Linked DNA regions of Rattus norvegicus. The main gene of each other region encodes a partner of the protein of the gene in region 3 in a complex. Links are inferred from orthologs where the notes say so. Each region holds a gene or a part of one and is shown on either strand. Other genes may lie near its edges. The genes, in order: Pip5k1c, Apbb1ip and Tln1.

What was found.
Region 1: the proteins of Tln1 (region 3) and Pip5k1c are in contact, whole or in part, in a crystal structure (PDB 1Y19), measured with the Mus musculus proteins. The link is inferred for Rattus norvegicus from reciprocal best matches to the Homo sapiens genes TLN1 and PIP5K1C. Residues at the interface, in NP_035732.2 of Mus musculus: Pro209, Val210, Gln211, Leu212, Leu214; in NP_032870.2 of Mus musculus: Pro646, Leu647, His648, Tyr649, Ser650, Ala651.
Region 2: the proteins of Tln1 (region 3) and Apbb1ip are in contact, whole or in part, in a crystal structure (PDB 4W8P), measured with the Mus musculus proteins. The link is inferred for Rattus norvegicus from reciprocal best matches to the Homo sapiens genes TLN1 and APBB1IP. Residues at the interface, in NP_035732.2 of Mus musculus: Leu1492, Ala1495, Thr1496, Val1498, Ala1499, Thr1502, Ser1503, Cys1506, Asn1507, Arg1510, Val1526, Ala1529, Lys1530, Ala1533, Asn1534, Thr1536, Ala1537, Val1540, Ile1543, Lys1544, Asp1547; in NP_062329.2 of Mus musculus: Asn5, Ile8, Asp9, Met11, Phe12, Thr14, Leu15, Glu18, Met19, Leu21, Leu22, Ser25.

The regions. Positions count from the first base shown.
Region 1 is NC_086025.1:9,073,826-9,078,175, forward strand, and holds the start of Pip5k1c (phosphatidylinositol 4-phosphate 5-kinase type-1 gamma), read right to left. Parts: upstream 2,892-4,350; 5' UTR 2,831-2,891; coding exon 2,737-2,830; intron 1-2,736. UniProt on the Homo sapiens protein: Catalyzes the phosphorylation of phosphatidylinositol 4-phosphate (PtdIns(4)P/PI4P) to form phosphatidylinositol 4,5-bisphosphate (PtdIns(4,5)P2/PIP2), a lipid second messenger that regulates several cellular processes such as signal transduction, vesicle trafficking, actin cytoskeleton dynamics, cell adhesion, and cell motility.
Region 2 is NC_086035.1:89,932,409-89,936,053, forward strand, and holds part of Apbb1ip (amyloid beta A4 precursor protein-binding family B member 1-interacting protein), read left to right. Parts: intron 1-2,406; coding exon 2,407-2,505; intron 2,506-3,125; coding exon 3,126-3,234; intron 3,235-3,645. UniProt on the Homo sapiens protein: Appears to function in the signal transduction from Ras activation to actin cytoskeletal remodeling. Suppresses insulin-induced promoter activities through AP1 and SRE. Mediates Rap1-induced adhesion.
Region 3 is NC_086023.1:62,586,458-62,589,830, forward strand, and holds part of Tln1 (talin-1), read right to left. Parts: coding exon 3,293-3,373; intron 2,392-3,292; coding exon 2,245-2,391; intron 2,128-2,244; coding exon 1,961-2,127; intron 1,872-1,960; coding exon 1,688-1,871; intron 1,599-1,687; coding exon 1,473-1,598; intron 1,375-1,472; coding exon 1,258-1,374; intron 513-1,257; coding exon 327-512; intron 245-326; coding exon 137-244; intron 1-136. UniProt on the Homo sapiens protein: High molecular weight cytoskeletal protein concentrated at regions of cell-matrix and cell-cell contacts. Involved in connections of major cytoskeletal structures to the plasma membrane.

The DNA.
Region 1 (4,350 bases), on a different chromosome or scaffold from region 3:
CAGGGACTCATATATCCTAGGCTAGCTCTCTGAATAGGCAAACACTCCCATGTGCTGATAAAACTTTATTGACAAAACCTAGCAGGGGGGCTGCAACCAGTGAGTCCCTGCATTACCTTGTTCTTGCGCACATCATCATCTTGACCCCGGCAGTCTAAATCAAGGAAGGGCTCCAGACCCTCTCTCCACTGGGGACACAGAGGCAGCAGTCACCCAAATGCATGATCTCAGGATAACACCTAGGGCAAGACTGACTGAACCTTTTGTCTCTAAGGTCAACAGCTCTGACCCTGACATCAAGGTCACTACTTCCTACTGGTCTGTGGCATTTGCCACCTGGCACACCTTGACAGTCCCCACGCACCTGTTGAATGCCCCCCCCCCCCCCCGAGCCCTGGTGCTGAACCATGCAGGAACATAGAGGCTCCTGTGGCTGGCATGGAGAACTGAGCAGCAGACAGGGAGGAGAGGGTGGGGCAGCGGTGTGGGCAGAGGGAGGGCCTGGAGCCAGTTTCTAACGGGCTCCTTATGGAACCGGAGAGTCGGTGGAAGGAAAACGAAGGACGCTGGACCAGCAGAGGCATGGGGTGGAGGAGACGTGGGCAGGCTCTGGGGTGATTTTAGAAGCAATGCTGACATAATTCGCCACCAATTCAGATGGGGGAGGAGGCAGTGGCAGGTTGGGAGCGGCGAAGCTTAGGAACACTTTACCAGAGCCCAGGCAGGTCACCAGCCCTGTCGCCTAGTACCCAGGGTCCCCAAGCCATACCACGCACCCACAAATTGCAAGGGCCCCAGCAGCCGCAGCAAGGCAGGAGACAGGCGGTTTTTGGGCAGGCCCGTGGAGTAAGAAGACTAAACGTAACTGGATTCTAAACGCCACACAGATAGGTTTCCTTCCCATCAGATAGGTGGAAATCACCAGAGCAGATAACAGGCTGCTGCTGCCAGGTCTGCAGGGAGACAGACACCCAGAGCGGAGGTCTTCTAGGAAGCAGGGTAGGTCTTGCTCTTCTTGCCTTTGACCTCCAGCCCCCCACGAGGCTGGGGATACTGACACTGGACACCCCCCCCCATTCACGTGGAGGCATAGATGCAGTTGGTGGTAAATAAACGCAACTGACTCCTTTAAGGCAGCCAGCACTCTGGTGCTTCAACCCAAGGTCAGAGGAGACCCAGGTGGCTTCCCCGGTTTACAGGTAGGAGCACATCAGGGAGCCACACTGAAGGGTGGGTCTCACAGGCAGCGATGGGATTCTATGTGGATGACTAACAGGACTCTAGGCAGGAAAAGGAACTTCCGGGAGGGACAGCCCCTGGGGGTCAGACACAGGTTTGTCTAGAGATCGGTGACAGATCCTGTCTGCTCCAGCTAGCTTGTTAAACACCGCCCCCCACATCTCCCCAGTGATGAACAAGATTCCATATACAGGGACAATGTTTGGGAACTGAGTGCCTGGCGCTATCAGGTTTATGGCCACTAAGGGCCCTGCTGTCCCCTGTATAATTTCTCCATAATGGCACGGGACACCAGATGACAGCAGCACAGAAGGGCAGGTAGCTGGTGACAAGAAGCAGATTAGCTACCACTGGGTTCCCAACAGCATAGAGAACGAATCTGACCACCTGGGTTTGGGGACCACTAGATCCCTGGCTCCTCCTCCCCTCCCTGTCTTCCATGAGGACAGTTAGGGAGAGCCTTAGAAGCCTATGTGAGTCCACAGAGACCTAACGGCAGATGCCAGCCATGGAGTACTGCTGAAGGGAGCCTAGAGTTCTGTGAATCCAGAAAGTTCTGATGACCTCGATGGAGAAGGGAGCATTCTGTCCTCTCTCGGCTGTGCATACCGACAGCCCTGCCTACAGAATGCAAGCCCAGAGACACTGCTCGAGACAGGGAAGGGGACACTAGGAAGCGGGGTTGCCCCACAGGCTACTGTAGCATGGCAGGCAGGGTCCAGGGAGAAAGGTCTGGGAGTTTGGGGGACTAATGGGACGGGACATCTGCTCACCCAGCCGGGACAGAGAAGGCACCTCAACATCATTTCTTTATTCTTCCCCAGCCCCCATTTTAGAGGGAGGTAAATTGAGGCCCACAAATAGGTGATCAGTGGTATGCAGCAGGGAGGGACCAGAAGGTGACAGTTCCAAGATTGACAGCCCAGCCACGGGGGTCGCATGGAGGACATACTCGCTCTTCCTTGCCAGGCAGGGTCCGCAGTGGGGTCCCCCAATTAGAATGAGGGTGCTCCAGCATCCCCCACACTGTGGAGAAGCCACTCACCACACACTCAAAGGGGCAGATATGACTCACTTGTCTCTATCCCCTACAGCAAGAGAATGCCCGAAAACGGGTCCCCTCTACTACCTCCAAACCAGAGGACTGCTTCACCGCTACCGCATGCATCTAGAAGAGGTTCGCTGCGTGCACAGGCTGCCAGGATAAAGAGCCGCACCCACGCCCGCCTGCGGCTCCATCGTGCACCCAAGGACCCTAAAATTGGCCGAGCGCTGCGAGCCCCGCATCCCCGGGCGGGGCGGTGCAGTCTCCCCGGCCCGAGCGCAGATGCCCCCTCCCCCGCTCATGCAATGGGAGAGCGCGAGCATCCCCGCGCCGCGCGTGAGAATGGATCAACCCGGCTGGCCGCATCGCAGGGCGAAGCGGGCGGGCGAGCCCACGCAGCACGGCGGGGGAGAGGGGTGAACCCATCGCAGCGACGGGGGGGTCGCATTTACCTGCCGCCGCCCCACTCTCCGCAGACCAGGCCGCCTCCGCTGTCACGGCCCCTGCTTCGGCGCTCTCTGCCTCGTCCGGCACCTCTAGCTCCATGGCCGCGCGCTCCGGCGGCAGCGGCGGCGGCGGCGGGCCCGAGGATGCACCCGAGCTCGGCCGCCGCCGCTGAACAACAAGCGCCGCCCGCACTATAGGGCGGAGGGAGGGGGCGGGGTCTGGGCGGAGCCTGGAGTCAACGCGAAGCTCTTAACCAATCGGATATAAGGACCGGACTTAGGGCGGCACCCAGTCAGGAGAGTGGCGAGCGCCCTCGAGCGAACGGTGCGGGAAGGACTTGTGTTCACGTGCAGTATGGGGGTGGAGGGAGGGGCTTCAGCAAAGGGAGGAACCTGACCAATTAGGGAACAGGGGTGGGGCTAAGGTGAAGTACGACTCACTAGCGCCTCCAAGCGTCCATAGACGGATGAACAGAGCAGCTCAAACAAACGAGAGGTAGGAGCGCCTGAAGGGGACTGAGATGGGGCGGGGCTTAGAGTCTACTACAGCCAATCTGATATTAAGGGCAGAGCCTAGACATGAGGCTCAGGATCACCCTAGGTGGACACTACACAGAAGGCAGAGGCAGCAAATCTATAGGCTAGAGATAATGCTAGCCTGGTCTACATAGCAAGTTCCAGCCTAGCCAGTGCTATATAGTGGGACCATTCCTTAAAAAACAAACGAAAAAACAAAACAAGACAAAAACAAAAAAAATCCCCCACAACCGGGCGGTGATGGCTCACAATTTTAATCCCATCGCTTGGGAGGCAGAGGCTGATGGATCTCCAAGTTCAAGGCTAGCCTGGTCCACGAGTTCCAGGAACTCAGAAACCCACCTGCCTCTGCCCAGTGCTGTGTCTGAGTTATCCTCAGCTATATATTGAGTTAAAGAGACCAACCTGGGCTATACGAGTGTGTGCGTAAAAGAAATTTATTACATATATTAGAAGTGTATTTTAGGGGTTGGGGATTTAGCTCAGTGGTAGAGCACTTGCCTAGCAAGCGCAAGGCCCTGGGTTCGGTCCCCAGCTCCAAAAAAAAAAAAAGAAAAAGAAAAAGAAAGAAGTGTATTTTACTGTCATTTACAACATAAGTAATCAATAAAAATAAGCATACATCGTATTGCAAAATTTTATATATATATATGTAATATATGTCGTTTGTTGTGTTTCTGAAACAGACATTTCAGCCTTAGCTTCCCCTTTGCTAGGATGCCAGGCATGGCCACCCTGCCTGTCCATTAAGACAGTTGCATCAAAAAGCGCATTGGTTGTGGCATGGACAGAAGTGAGTCAGCTTGACTAAAGCCAGGGCTTCCAAAGTGTGGTCACTGGAGCCCAGCATCAGCCCCTTCTGGAAGCAGGTTAGAAGCCTGAATCTGAAGGCTTCTTGCTGCAGGAACTAAGATGGGGCCACCAGCTCCTCCAGAGATGTGGACACCTGGTAAAAGCTGAGAACTGTTTGGGCATCACAGAAAGGAACTAGGTCAGGAGTGCTCGAATTAAGAAGAAGCAAGGTTTGAAAAAAAAAAAAAAAAAACCTAAAACTGGGAAGTCACAAGGGGCCAGGTGTACAGA
Region 2 (3,645 bases), on a different chromosome or scaffold from region 3:
ACTCAGGCATCTGTGGTTCTGATACTGAATGACAAGCTCTTCGATTTGGTTTTGCAGATTTCTTTGTTGAGAATGGCACAGGCATCCACAGAATGTCGCATGCTAGCCACCAAGTGCCTGATTCACATTTTAACAATCTGACCTTTAGGTTAATTAATGCAACAAATCCTTTTTGCTATTGGACCACTCTACTTGATTTGATTGATGTTCCCGACATCAAGGTCCTCTTTAGAACGTGATTATTGGAGCAATTACTGATTGCATTACTGATCACTGAGAATTTCTGAGGAAGCTTTCAACACTAGAACACAGTGTGCTGCAGCCATCCAAAAGTGTATGCCGCCATCTCCTGGTCCAACTGGAGAACTACAGCAACAGTCTGAGTACTGGTTGGAATTGTCAGGGAAGAGGAATCTGATAGGGATAATCATACAAACTGACTTCCAGGCCAAGTTGATGCAAATTTGGAGCCAGTAAAGGAAGCAATCCAATTAAAAGAGTCAGCTTTTCTCAGGTGCTAGGAAAGACCACACACAGGAATTCTTTACATTTTCTGATGTTTTATTCCTGTAACATCTTAAAAATATGGTGCTTGTCTTAGTGGCTCAGTATAAACTCAGAAATTCTAGTGGGTCAAGAAACATACAGGGAGCTCTCCAAACATAAATTTTTATCATTTTTAAAAGCAGAAATAATAAATTTTGGAATAAAAATTTTTAGTCCAAAAATTTTTGGACTAAAGTCCTTGCAGTCTGTGTATCTTGTAGAGGGTGGGAGTGGGGGCAAGTCAGGCACAAAGCTTGCAGAGAAACCAGTCCACATGCTTTTCTTCGTATCCCAGCATATTAAAGGCACAGTTCAAATGCTCAGATCACCTTTGATGATAACCTACTTTCCTGAAGGTCAGTGAGTTTGCCGAATGCAAGCGGAAAGGCCTATGCAGCGCCATAGAGAGGGATCGCTGCTTCACTCATTTTCTGCCTGTGGAACCCTGAAGTAGATGGTCCCAGATCTCCTGGTTGTGTAGTAGCACTAATTTATGCTCATGCTAGCAAGACTCGCAAGCTGCTCTACAGAAACACACACACACACACACACGCACGCACACACACACATTTTAGTTGCTACTTTTTATATACAATAAAATGTAATGGAAGTTACAATGACCCATGAAAATTGACATCACACATATTTCAGATCTTAGGTTTGGTTACCAGCCTCTGGCCCAATAGCTTCGACATTTCTGATGCAAGAGTAAATGCCTTGCTTATTTCTTTATTTAAACAATTATTTTGACACCCAGACTGCAGTTCTATTATACGACAGGCACGTTATGCACCCCCAGTCTTCCAAAAAAAAAAGACAGGCAAAGTTCCCATCGATAGAGAGCTCAGTATGTCAGAGCCAAACAGAAACAAAAGCTACAAGCACAGGAGACTCGAGAAACGAGAAACGGAGTTGCAATCTCTCCTTTCTGTCTGCCACATCACTGTTCTCTTGAGAACTCCTGGGGGCCTACATAACCCCTGTACAACATTGTTTATGACCACTTACCGACAGATGGAAGATTCGAATGACACCCTCCCCTGCAGAGTATGTGCCCGTGTGGATGTGAAACCATCATTAGGAAAGAGAGATCGTTGCAAAACTCTGTATTCTTGGTGAAAGAAATGACACCTGGACTAAATTTTGGCATAAATAAAACTCTAATTTTATTAGCACTGGCTTTGTAACATAAAATGCATATTAGGTAATCCCCTTTGTATAATAGAGAAGCAACCTGATTTCCAATGAGGGACAGAAACCTAACAGATATAAAGGGCTTCAGCATTTAAAAGGGGGAGATACAATTATTACTGGCATATTAGAAGTGCTTGTGGTTAGAGCATATAACAGGCTTCATAAATCTGTTCAAAGTTTGGCCTTTTTCTTAATACTGCTAGGGGATGAACCCAGAGCCTCACAGATGCAAGGCAAGTGTGGCCACTGAACTACACCCTCAGCCCTTTTAGTACCTTTTACTTTTGAGACAGGGTCGCTTTAAGATTCTCAAGTAGATCTCAACCTGGTGATCCTCTTTTCTCAGTCTTTTTGGTAGCCCAAGTTGCAGGCTTGTGCTGTGGTGCTGACAGTTTAACAGTTCTTAAAACAGTTCTTAAAAAAAAAAACTGGGTATGCTAATCTATATTCTTGGCTACCAAGAACACTGAGGTGGAAGGATCATGAGTTCAAAGCCAGCCTGGGCTTCAGAACGACATCTCTGCCTCTTCCTGATCCTAAACCTGCTACCAGGTATATTTACCACCATCTCAGGAAATCATACACATTGTTAACGTTTCACTTTAAGTTTTTTTTCCACTTAATAAATTGCATCTATTAATTGCCTTCAAAACTGCTTCTTTGTAGCATCCTCAAATTCAGAAGGAATCTCAGTACATCAAGTACCTTTGCTGTGATGACGCAAGAACTCTCAGCCAGTGGGTTATGGGAATAAGGATCGCCAAGGTGAGTGTGCACTCAGCTTCCTGTGTCCTTAGGTCAGCCAACAAGCCTGTTTACTAGGGCCAGCATCTCACCATTCCTGGGTACAGATGTTATCTGTTTGTTCTTGGTTCCTTTCTCCCCCTCAGTAAGTGGAGTCATAAACTTATTACTACACAAGCACACACCTGTCCAGTGATGTGAGAGTCAGAGTTGACTTTCAAACAAACTGTTCAGACTCACGGGGAGAATTGCAAACACAGTATGCAATTAAGAAACTCAAGACTGGGCCAAAGGTGTGTGTGCCTTAGTGGTGGAGCGCTTTCCTAGCAGGTGTGGGGTCCTGAGTTTGATCCTACCATAGGAAGGGAAAGAAGCAAATTAATTCGATTAAACGGTTACATGGTCAGAATCTTGTGATTGGAATTTGGTGGCTAGCCCTGACCTCTGGTGTGTAGGTGGGAGAATTCACTAATTTTGAAAATCTAGAGAACTTTTTAACATTTGAAAGAGCAACCGATGAAATAAACCCCCCAAATACATGGAGAATAATGGCACCTTTTTCTCTTTCAATGTGGCTCTTGACTTGAGTGCAAAACTTAAAATAAATGGATTCCTTTCTTTCCCCTGTGTTCCCTCCTTAGTACGGGAAAACTCTCTATGATAACTATCAGCGGGCTGTGGCTAGAGCTGGACTCGCCTCTCGGTGGACGAACCTGGGGACTGCCACTACACCAGCTCAGCCTGCTGCAGGTAAAAGCAGAGAAGACATTCACATTCACACACCCACAAAACCCGAGCCTAGGTTTTAACCCACAAAACCCAGTCTCTAGGTTACACCCCCAACAAGACCAGCATCTCCAGGTTATTCCCACAACAAACCTGCACCCCCAGGTTACAAGCCCGCCCCCTGCCTGATAACCACCAATGCAGAGGGGAGCAGAAATTAAGTTCATGATCTGACTCGAAGCACCAGCCAGTTATGTTAAAGTCCACAGTGACTTTCCAATTAGACGCTTGCACACTCACCCCAAACTTGAAGCCTTCTATAAAGCCTTGCCTGGTAGATATTAGGGTGCTCCTTCTCCACCAAACCATCCCATGTGATGGTGGTGTGCTGAGGTTTACAATAAACCCGTAAATAAAGTGCTAGTCATGACTTTA
Region 3 (3,373 bases):
GGAGGCCAGGGGAAAGAAGACAAGAGAAGAGGAAGAGGTAAGTGGGAGGAGTGAAGACCGTCACAACAGTGGGGTCCCACAGACAGTTTGAAGTGAGAGTGGCTGGGTTGGGGTATGAGGAGCAGCGCCTCCTTACCAGCAGCACGTGGTCCAGCAGCTCCAGGTAGCCATTGGCACACTCCCGGCCAAAGTGTAGGGCTCGAAGCCGCACATCAGGTGCCACTTCTGGGTGGAAAGCTGCTTCCTGTCCACAGAGTGCAGATTAGCCTTAGAGCTTCAGGCCCCCGAACCCCTTGGTCTCACCACCTCACCAGCAGCGTTTCTACCTTGCAAGCCCGAAGCATGTCTGCAATAGCACGTCGGCTCAGATTGGCTGTGGCAATGACATCTTCCTGCCGACAGGAATTGCCAGCAGCAACAGCTTTGGCTGTTGCCATAGTAATACCCTTGGTCATTCGGATGAAATCTTCAGGGGTGGAGGTCTTGGCAGGGGGCTCTGGGGAACAGAAGACCTGTTGGAAAAAAAGAAAGACTATACAGTGTCCAAGATGGGAAGGCAACACAGCCAGGGTCTAATTTCCACATCCATGTGTTCAAAAAGCATTTTTCCTTTTCTTTTTTCTTTTCTCATATATTACATCTTAACAGAAGTTTCCTCTCCCTCCTCTCCTCCCTGTCCCTCCCCTACACTTCCCCCTCCTCCAGATCTGGAGGGCGGGCCTCCCAGGGATATCAACCAAATTCAAATTCGGCATATCAAGTTATAGCAAGACTAGGCACATATTCTCACAGTGAGGCTGGATGAGGTGACCCAGTAGAAGGAAAAGGGTCTCCCAAAACAGGCCAAAGAGCCAAGGCAGCCCCCACTTCCCAACTGTTAGGAATCCCAAAAGATCAGTAAGCTACACAACCAGAGCATGTACACAGAGGAACTAGGTCAGACTGGTTCAACCTGTGAGCCCCGAGGGGTCCTGGTTAGTTGATTCTGTGAGATGCAAACAGCTTTTCTAGAGTAGGCACTGTGGGTCAAGTCCCTGCAGATATTCCTATATCAAAGCTCATAGAGAGCAGTGCTGGTCACGGTTCTGACTGGAGAGAGACTGTTGAAATTTAAGTAGTGCCTTTTGGCCGGGATGCAGCGCAGCAGAGACATGACGGGATCATGTGGGAAGTACAGTATTAAGCAAGCAGAGTGCTGAGGAATGCAGGAGAGGCCCAACTCACAGTCTATCACCCAGTGCCCCGGGCTGTGCTCACCGCCAGTTCCTGACGTATGTGCTCTGTGGTTGCCTCTAGGGCCCGGGTGCCTTTGGTGGCCTCATCTTCCACAGCCTTCACAGTCTTGAGCAACGATGTCACATTAGTCACCATCACCTGAGGGCAGCAGAGAGTGGGGAGGAGACCATGTTTTAGAAGCAGGAGGAAGTGCGCTAACCATCCCTCCTCCTGCTGTTGCTCCTACTGCTTCCAACCTTAGCAGAGTTCTTGAGCTGCCACACTGCAGGGTCATCCCCAACTTTGCCCGCTGCAGCCTTCGTTGCACTGATGAGGTCTCCCAGGGCCTTGGCTACGTCCTTTACTGCATTGATCAGCACCACCTGTGAGGGAGAGGTTACTCTGCTTTGTGAGGGGGGAAGGGCAACAGGAAGTGAGGCTTAGGGCAGAATTAGAGATGTTAGGTAGATACCTGAGTTTCGGGGTCCTCAGCTCCTAGGCTGGCTGCACCAAGCTTGACTACATCAGCGAGGCGGGTAATGGTGGCCACTGAGGACTGGGCAGCTTGTGCCAACTTCTCCTGGCTCCCAGCTGCATTTTGTACCAGGACCTTGGTGTCCTCCACAAGAACCTTTGCTGTCTTTAAGATACCCTCCCTGGGGAGGCCCCACCAGTCAGCTTTCCTCAGAGTCCCAACCTTCCAGCCCATGCCAACCTGCCTCCCTCTGGGCACTTCCCTCCTCACCGGTGGTCTGCAAAAGTTTCGGCACCCTCACGGTTAAGTGTGCCAGCAGTAGCAAACATGATGGTGGTGTCAAGGTCAGCAATGATACCAGACACAGCACTGGCTGCTGTGATGCAGGCCTGGGTACCACGATTCCCAGCCTGGAGTGCAGCCAGAACATGGGAGACCTGTAGGCAAAGGGAAAGGGAAAGTCAAAGCTGCCTATGCTTGAGAGAACAAGGAAACAGGCTGGAGAGGTACACGGAGATGGGAAAGCCACGCCGCCCCAGGAGATCAGTAGTCACCTTCTCTGATACTCTGCGGGCGCACTCTATGAGCTCCTTCTTGGTGTAGACATCACTGGGGCTACACTGCAAGGCGCCTGCCTTGGTGACCAGAGCAGAACAGCCATGGCCCAGCTCCTGTACTCGGTGCTTGATATGCGCACCTATCTGTGAATAGCAGAGGGGACATTGATCATTTTATAAGAGTGCTCAGGAGCCTCCAATGCACCTAGAGGAACCACTGAGGATGCTTAAAAACCTAGAGCAGTGGGATGGATAAACACTTGTGTGAGCCTGGCCACCGGAGTTTGGTTCCTGGAACTCACAGTGGAAGGAGAGAACTGACTTCCCAGTTGTCCCCTGACCTCTACACGTGCATTATGACATGTGCACAGCTGCACTCACACACACACTGCAAACACACACACTAATAATGATAAACAAACACAGCTTAAAAAGAACCATGTCCCACAGACTAAGGGAGCTCTATGAAAAGTCCCCACACAGTCTTTTCTGGTTTCATATCCAAGCAGGAGTCACCTCCTACACATTCAATAGTGAGAAGGCACCATGTGGTAAGGACTGTGCTAAGCACCGTGGGGAGGAGGGAGACGCACTTGTGTTTGGGTATTTGAACCAGAGCCTGTTTGGGTTTACGGAGGGTTTGGGGATTAGGCATGTCCTACTTAGATCCAGTCACTCACTTTCTTGGGAGGAGAGCCAAGAGCTTAAGCAAGGACAAGCTGTGTGGATTTGCCACACAGAAGCACCAGGAGACTCTCGGCCCAGCAGCGGTACCATAGGTCTTACTAGGGTTGACAGAGGCTGGAGAAGCAGAACCCAGAAGCCTCTGGATCCTGAGCTGTCCCTTTCACCCTGTGACTGAAGGCTTGAATCCTTTATGTCTACACACAGCCTGCTTGCCCTTTATGGAGCAGCCTTGATGGTGTGCTGCCTTCTGTCTGACTAGCTAGAGTAAGGGAGTGTGGGACACCCCTGAGGCTGCCATGGGAAGAAGCACCATGAACTGCAATCTCCTGAGAGAAGGCAGTGTGGCCGCCATGGTTACCTCCTCATTCTCAGCAGCCACAGCTGCAGGCTTGGCTTGTGAGGCCAGTCGGCCATAGTCACTGGTCAGCTGGTTGGCAAG